2 linked regions of the Lonchura striata genome follow. The protein of the gene in region 1 purifies or fractionates together with the protein of each later gene. This does not show direct contact. Links are inferred from orthologs where the notes say so. Each region holds a gene or a part of one and is shown on either strand. Other genes may lie near its edges. The genes, in order: EXOSC10 and EXOSC9.

What was found.
Region 2: the proteins of EXOSC10 (region 1) and EXOSC9 purify together in Homo sapiens (co-immunoprecipitation; 7 studies listed by BioGRID and IntAct, with this or other methods). This does not show direct contact. The link is inferred for Lonchura striata from reciprocal best matches to the Homo sapiens genes EXOSC10 and EXOSC9.

Annotation. Positions count from the first base shown.
Region 1 is NC_134626.1:5,832,449-5,836,356, reverse strand, and holds the start of EXOSC10 (exosome complex component 10), read right to left. Parts: upstream 2,699-3,908; 5' UTR 2,684-2,698; coding exon 2,555-2,683; intron 1,736-2,554; coding exon 1,599-1,735; intron 1,140-1,598; coding exon 1,016-1,139; intron 544-1,015; coding exon 439-543; intron 78-438; coding exon 1-77. UniProt on the Homo sapiens protein: Catalytic component of the RNA exosome complex which has 3'->5' exoribonuclease activity and participates in a multitude of cellular RNA processing and degradation events.
Region 2 is NC_134606.1:69,540,171-69,544,078, forward strand, and holds the start of EXOSC9 (exosome complex component RRP45), read right to left. Parts: upstream 2,298-3,908; 5' UTR 2,257-2,297; coding exon 2,191-2,256; intron 2,017-2,190; coding exon 1,922-2,016; intron 1,333-1,921; coding exon 1,213-1,332; intron 1,127-1,212; coding exon 1,024-1,126; intron 610-1,023; coding exon 472-609; intron 365-471; coding exon 282-364; intron 150-281; coding exon 17-149; intron 1-16. UniProt on the Homo sapiens protein: Non-catalytic component of the RNA exosome complex which has 3'->5' exoribonuclease activity and participates in a multitude of cellular RNA processing and degradation events.

The sequences.
Region 1 (3,908 bases):
AGCTGTGGTCGAGAAATATTCTTGGCATGAAGCAGTCGGAATGTTTCAGACTGAGTTCTCTTGTGGAATTCTCCTGCCTATTTAAAAAAAACAGAGGTAAAACTAACATGACTTACCAGACATTCTTTTCCTCAGTCTGATCCAACATTCAGAGGAAGAGTTATACCCCACAATTAAAACTGAGTAACTATTTTTCATTAAGGAAAAGAAGTTGTGACTCAAGATCCTGAATTCATAAGCACAGGAAAGGCTGTTGAGCATGTGAAACTGAAATGGCAATTGAAAGCATGAAGATTTCAGAACCAAGTTTGAATGAGTAGGAAAAAGAGAAAAAGAGAGAGGTACTTAGAATGCATGAAAAAACACTGGAGAACTGGAAGTGCAATGGCTGGGAGAACAGCTGAGCTAAGACAGCCAAACTGAGCATGGGAGCCTCACCTTACGGTTCCAGCTGGAAACAATCATCTGTGGGGGCTGTAACCCAGCTGGCAGGACTGGCTGCTGGTTTCTATTCACTCCTGATGCTTCATCCAATAAAATACTCTAAAATCCAGAAAACCAATGTGAAACACCTGTTAAATCACCACACCCAGACACTCTAATCAAGCTGAGTAAAGAAAGTCATGTAGGTAGGTACCTCCATAGCCATCTCCCCCAAATTTTGTGCAACACAAAGACAAACATGAGACCACGTTGAAGATGAGGGGTGGGAAGAGTTTCTTCAGAGCTCTCTAAAATGTATAGACATGTTCTCAGGCTGTGAGTATTTTATGTCAAACTGTATTTAGTTTCCTCACACATCCCATATTACCTTCCCCACCTTTGGCCCACCTACCTTTGCTGCGATCTCTGGCCTAGCATTTGGAAGTTTTTAAAATAAAAAGGGAATACATCAAATTGAGGAAACAGTGAGTAATTGTGGAAGCTGTGCCACTAGAGTTCTTGCAACAAAAAAAAGAAAACTTATGGCAACTGAATACTTTATAAGAAACACATCCAGAAATAATTTACTTACCACTCTTTCAAGAATGACATCATTGGAGTCAACCAGCATATCAAATTTATCTTCCAGCCCTGTCACTTTGCTGGAATCTTTCATGAGGCTCCGGCAGCCATGGTACTGCATCACCTGGCTCATGCTTGCAAGAGAACAGCACAGCTGTCAGCAATCTGAAAGCAGGCTATCTAAACACTAAAACACCCAATTCTCTTAGACTTTCTACCCTTAAAAGTCTGAAAATAAATCAAATTATAGATATCATTACATGAGCAGTAAATAGAAAAAGCATCTATACAATATTAAAGTGTTAGAATTAGTTTCTCACAAACATGACTTTTAAAATGGGCAGCCTAATGTGTTCAGTATCAGGTGTGTTCAGTATCTTCTTTGCACAGCTCTTCATGGCAATCATTATGAAATACCCTCTTTAAGCTTGCCACTTCAGCTGCCAAGTGCTAGAGAAGCAGCTGAAATCAGACATATGAAATAAACCACCTCTTTACCTATGGCAAGCACGAAGTTGTCGAAGAAGGGGGCTACTTTTTGGTGTGGCTTGACAGCTACTAGCAACAGCTCAGAGGGGCAGAGGGGCCCTTACCAGCGGAGCAGGCGGTCGCTCTGCGTGTTGCAGTACGCGCGGAACCCAGGGAAGCTGCAGTAGAAATCGTACTCGTCACCGGGCTGGGGCAGCCCGCTAGATGCCTTTGTTGCAGCCACCACTGTGCCGAGAGCATACTGTGCAAGAACACCAGCATTTTATCATCAGCATTTTGTTTCTCTTTACTCGAGATACTCTTTGATAGAAATGTACTTTGCCTGGCTGGAACTGCATGGTTCTAATGTGTGGTACTGCGGGGCTTTTCACCAGGAGTAACTTCATGTCATTATTTACACAGCTTTAAATATCAAAAGTTTAAAAACTAGTGATCAGACACTGAATAGGCTTCCCAGGAATGGTCGAAGCCCCAAGGCTGCCAGAGCTCCAAGAGCATTAGGACAATGCTCTCAGGCACGAGGTGGGGTTGTAGGGGTGTCTGTGCAGGGCCAGGAGCTGGACTCGATGATCCTTGTGGGAACCTTCCAATGCAGAATATTCTACAGTTCTAAATCAGCAGGAACACAGATAATTACTTTATTACTCTAACAATATACCCCAAATCCCTGCAAATTTGGGATGTAGCAGCCATTTCCTCTCCGAAAGGTAAAACACACGGGGGCTGATGCTGCGATTTGTAAGGCGAGAGGCAATTCTCATCGCAACAAGGCTTCATGAGCGTCCTGATTCCTTGGCATTTCCAGGAGTCCCCGGTGGCTGACAGGGCCCGACCCAGGCCGGTAACAGGTCCAGACACACCTCTCTGGGCCCCGCACCCGCCGGCCGGCCCACACCCTCCTTCTCGCACTGGGAGACACCCGTGGGGTGTCCCAGCTCAGGCTGGGATCCCCACGCGGCCCCGCGGGACAGAACTACAGCTCCCGGCATGGCCCGAGCGCACACGGCACGCCGGGAGCGGTAGTGCCTCACCCGCTCTCCCTGCCCCTCTCCGACCTCACCTTGACGAAGGCGTCGGGACTGTCGAACCCGGGCAAGGCCGGCATCGTGCTCCTTCCCTCGGTGTCCGCGGGCGCCCCGGAGCTGCCCGCCCGCCCCGCCGGGCTCCCCTCACGGCCGGCAGCCGCCATGTTGACGCGCGGCTGTCGCGAGAACTGCGGGCCGGAAGGGAGCTGAGACCCGCGGGCACCGCGGGCGCCCCCAGCGGCCGGACGGGGCAGGACGAGCCCTGTGTGGGCGGGAAGGTCTGAGGAGCGGCTCGGCGGCCGCGCGGCCGGGCTGCCGTGTGGCGCATTCGGCCTTTCCCCCCACAACCACCGGCTGCCGTGTGGCGCATTCGGCCTTTCCCCCCACAACCACCGGCTGCCGTGTGGCGCATTCGGCCTTTCCCCACAACAAACACCCACCGGCTGCCGTGAGGCGCATTCGGCCTTTCCCCCCACAAACACCCACCGGCTGCCGTGAGGGGCATTCGGCCTTTCCCCACAACAAACACGGCTGCCGTGAGGCGCATTCGGCCTTTCCCCCACAAACATCAGCTGCCGTGAGGCGCATTCGGCCTTTCCCCCCACAAACACCCACCAGCTACTGTATGGCACATTCAGCCATTTCCCCCCACAAACACCCACTGGCTTCTGTGCAACACATTCGGCCTTTCCCCCCACAAACACCCACTGGCTGCTGTGCGACATATTCGGCCTTTTCCCCTCACACCCACAGATTCAGGCTTTTTCCTCCACAAACACCCACCTGCTGCTCTGAGGCAGATTTCAGCCATTTCCCCCACAAATACCTACCGGCTGCTGTGAGGCACATTCAGCCATTTCTCCCACAAACACACACCAATTTGCCCATTTCCCCCCACACACCCACCTGCTGCCATGAAACACATTCAGCCATTTCCCCCCACAAACACCCACTGGCTGCCATAAGGCACATTCGGCCTTTTTCCCCCACAAACACCCACCTGCTGCCGTGAGGCAGATTTCAGCCATTTCCCCCACAAACACCCACTGGCTGCTGTGAGGCACATTCAACCATTTCTCCCACAAACACACCGATTCGCCCATTTCCCCCCACAAACACCCACCGGCTGCCATGAGGCACATTCAGCCATTTCCCCCCACAAACACCCATCGGCTGCCATGAGGCACATTCAGCCATTTCCCCCCACAAACACCCATCGGCTGCCATGAGGCACATTCAGCCATTTCCCCCCACAAACACCCACTGGTGGGTCCCAGGACCAGAAGGTCCTGAGTGGGAAGGGACCCAGAGGGATTGTCAGCTCTTGGCCCTGCAAAGGTCACCCCAACAATCCCACCTTGTACCTGAGAGCGTTGTCCAAATGCTCCT
Region 2 (3,908 bases), on another chromosome or scaffold:
CAGAGCAAAGGTTTACCTGATCTGGCAGCAGCATGACCACTCCACTGGACTGGATGGTACAAATTTCATGGTGTTTATTCATGGCAATTACGAGGAGCCCATCCATCACCCGCTCCTCACGTTCAGTTGGGTCCACCAACAAATAGGTCCTAGAATCAAGGTTTGAAATATGAGGCAACAGTAGAAATTCGAGACACCTTACTACCCTTAAACACAATTAAACAAAGGAGTTGGCAAGGTTTATACCCCTTATGTGGGTACATAAGACCTCAAAATCTTACCCTTGATGGAAGAAGGCAAAACTGACACAAATGGGCATGTGGTGGATACTCAAGGGGACAGGATCACGTTCCTCAGGAGTGTACTTGGAAAGGAATTGGCCCAGAATACAGTTATTTATTAAACTCGTTTAATTTTAAAGTGACAAAGAAATTTCAGGAAATTTAAAACAGAAACAAAAACCCAGCTTACCACAGTTACTTCCTCTCCTTGCACAGACACATCTGGCCTGCGAAAATGACACAGAGCTACAATCCCTGCTATGCTGGCAGCATCAGTGATGTTGCCATCATGGTTTAACAGGTGCATGTCCAGCCGAATTTGCCAAACCTGACAAAAATACAAAAAATACAAAACTGCTTGATTCTACAGAAATTAATTTTTCTTCAAAACTAGTTCATCTTTTTTGAAACAGACAAAGAACCAATATATTTTCCCTAGGTCTTTGACTAAGAAGATTAGAGATCTAGGTATATTTCAAGAGACCCACTGTGCCAGATTTAATTAGGACAAAATATGCAGCACTTCAGCACAATTTAAACAACATTCTGTAGGGTCCCAGCTACTTCAGAAAGCCTATGCAGACATGACAAGTTAAAAATACCTCTCAAATCAGATGAGTGGATCTTTACATTAACCTAAAATCAGTACTTCTACTATCCAACACAAGACAGAGACCAACTTAAAATTGGACTATATGTATTTTTTAGTTTAAACCCACCAGGAATGAAGAAGTTTTCCTACCTTTTCACCAGCAACAACGCAGAGAGATTCAGTCTCAATACATTTGGAATCTCTGAGGCATCGCTCCAGTAGTCTGTTCAGTGACACCAGTAACTCAGATTGTCTGTTGGAATAAAATTAACCCAAAGTCAATACGATTACAGTGGCTTTTATGCCATCCCTGTTTACTCCTTTTAAGACATGCATTACCTGCCAGGCTCCAGCCCAGGTGCAGCCATGGGTGAGAGCTCCAGATTGAAGAAGAGCACACCCTCTGTGGGTCGACTGGGCTTAGGCGGAACGAGTTCACACGAGACCTGTGCAAGAACCCTGCCAAGGCAAATAAACCACCAAGTCACAGAAAATACCAGGGAAAATCTAGAAACAAAACACATACTTGGGGAGAAAAAAGCATGTGGTTAGGGTTTTAGTTTGTAATTCTCACTCCTGACAGTTTCTCGTTCAACATCTGTCAAACATTATTTAAAATCTGGTCAACAACTGAAGGAGCCAAATGTTAAGAACTAGAACGTACTCCTGTCTTTTAAGACTAAGAATTGACTCAAACACATGAGAAACTGTAATGACATATTTATGTAAATGCACAGATTTCACTTTTACACAGGCAAAAAAGGGTTGTTTGGTCTGGGGAAGAATGCAAAACGTGAGACCACTGAATAAACGGATGAAAACCTGGGAACAATTCTGCATTTTATAAATTATTTGTAACTACAATCATCACGGAAACCCCATCCCTTTCCCGCTTCCTTCCTTTCCATCCTCTCCTCTTTGCTCCCACCCTTGAAATACTAGGGCTTTAGGGCTTGAAAGGTTAAAATCTGTTTACAGAGATGTCTGCAGGCAGGGGAACCTCAGGCTCTCCTTGGCCCGGGGCCCGCGGCCGAGCCCCCGCGCCCACCTGGTCCTGCCCAGCTCCACCATGCAGCAGCCGCGGTCCGCGCCGAAGGAGACGCGGATGTTCCGGTAGTCGTAGCACTGCCTCCCGTCCAGGCGCTGCGGGAACACAGGGACACACACATGGAGAGGGTCGGTGCGCCATGCCCGCCATGCGACGGCACCGCGGCGGGGGAGGCGGCTCCCGGCGACAGCCGCGCTCCGCGGGCGGCGGGCAAGGGGATGGGGAAAGGGATGGGGAAAGGGGCGGGGAGGGGGGTGCTGGCGCCGCACCTTCTTCTCCTGGATGGCGCGGAGCAGGAAGCGCCGCTCGCAGTTGGAGAGCGGCGTCGCCTTCATGGCCGCGCCGTGAGGGGGCAGCGCGCGCGGGGCACGGCGCGGGGGGGGAGCGCGCGCGTCATCGCCGCGCGCCGCGCGTGCCCAGCGCGCACGCGCCGCGGCGTTGCCGCCCCCGCGCGCGCCCCCTCAGGGAGGGCGCGGCCCCGAGACTCCCGTAGCCGGGCGGCAGCGCGCTCTGCTTGGGGAAACTTCCTGCTATCCGAGCTAAACCTGCCCCCACTCAGCTTCACGCTGCTTCCCCGAGTCCTATCCCTGGTCACCAGAGTGCAGAGATCGGCATTGCCCCTCCGCTCCCCCTCCCGAGGATGCTGAGGTCTCCCCTCAGTCTCCGCCAGCTGAACAGACCAAGCGCCCCCAGGCGCCCCTCACACGGCTTCCCCTCCGGGCCCTTCAGCACCCTCGTGCTCTCCAGCAGCTCCCTGTCTTTTCCTTACTGCGGTGCCCAAAACTGCACGCAGCACCCGAGGAGAAGGCGCGCCGGTGCAGGGTGTGAGGGTGCGCGCCTCAGCGCCTCGGCAGCGACAAATGGTGCCGGAGTGCCGGTCCTCAGGAAAGCCATCTGGAATTTAAAAAAAAACAACCAAACAAACAACAACAACAACAACAACAAAAAAAAAAAAAAAAAAAAAAAAACACAAAAAAACCCAACAAAAAAACCGCACAAAACATGCATGCCGGACATTTCGAGTGGTTAACACTATTGTGGTGCCCAGCCCTCCAGGTGCGGATGCCCCGCGGCACCCGGGCTGCCAGCAGAACATCCCTCCCTGCTGTTCTGAAATGTTGCCCGTAAGTAAAAAGGCCTTTACAAGTGGCTTTTATGCTTCGTTTGAGCTAAAACGAGAAAATCTATTGTCTTCCCACCAATACTAAACCCCAGACACTGGCATATTCCACACAAAAGTGTTGAAATAGCTCAGTCACGCTGTCTTTTCAAGCCTTGTTAATACACTACAGTTCTGGTACAAACTAAAATGTAAGTCGTGTTTCTAAAACTCACAAGTTTGTGCTAGTGAGGACAAGTGCTGCCTGATTTTCCCATGCTGGTTTTATATTTTCAGTTTAGGATAAATATCATCACAAATAATAGGTGTAAGAAAATATCTATAAAATTACAGAAAGACACTCCTTCTCCAAGGACAAAAATAAGCAAATTGCCCTTGGAGTTTTACTGACAATTTTTACGTGGAAATTCTGTCTGATTTTACTTTTTTGGTGTGAATTTGGCGACAATATTCATTAGCGAAGGCTTGGGGTTAAATTCTGTAACTCTTCAAGTTTACTAACAGCAAATTTGGAAGCGTTTTTTTTTGTTTGTGGGAGTTGTCCAAACTACTTTACTCTTCGTCAATTACAAAAATATGTTAATTTCAGCATATATTGAGATTTCTGCTTGAGGTGGAGTGGGAAAATTCCTGTTCCTGCTCTCTCAGTGAACTGTTAAGTGACTCGATCTATCGGGCTGGCGGAAAAGCACGTTTTCAAAAGAGAAGGTGGTGGTGATGGTGAACTTCAGTGGGAGCTGGATGTAATTCCAGGGGAAATAAGTCATGTATTGGGGCTGGAAATCAGCTGCGTCCCCTTTGATCCACACAGTCTTCTTCACACAAAGGCTACTTTGCAGCTTTGGTGCTTGTACATGTGCTAAGAAG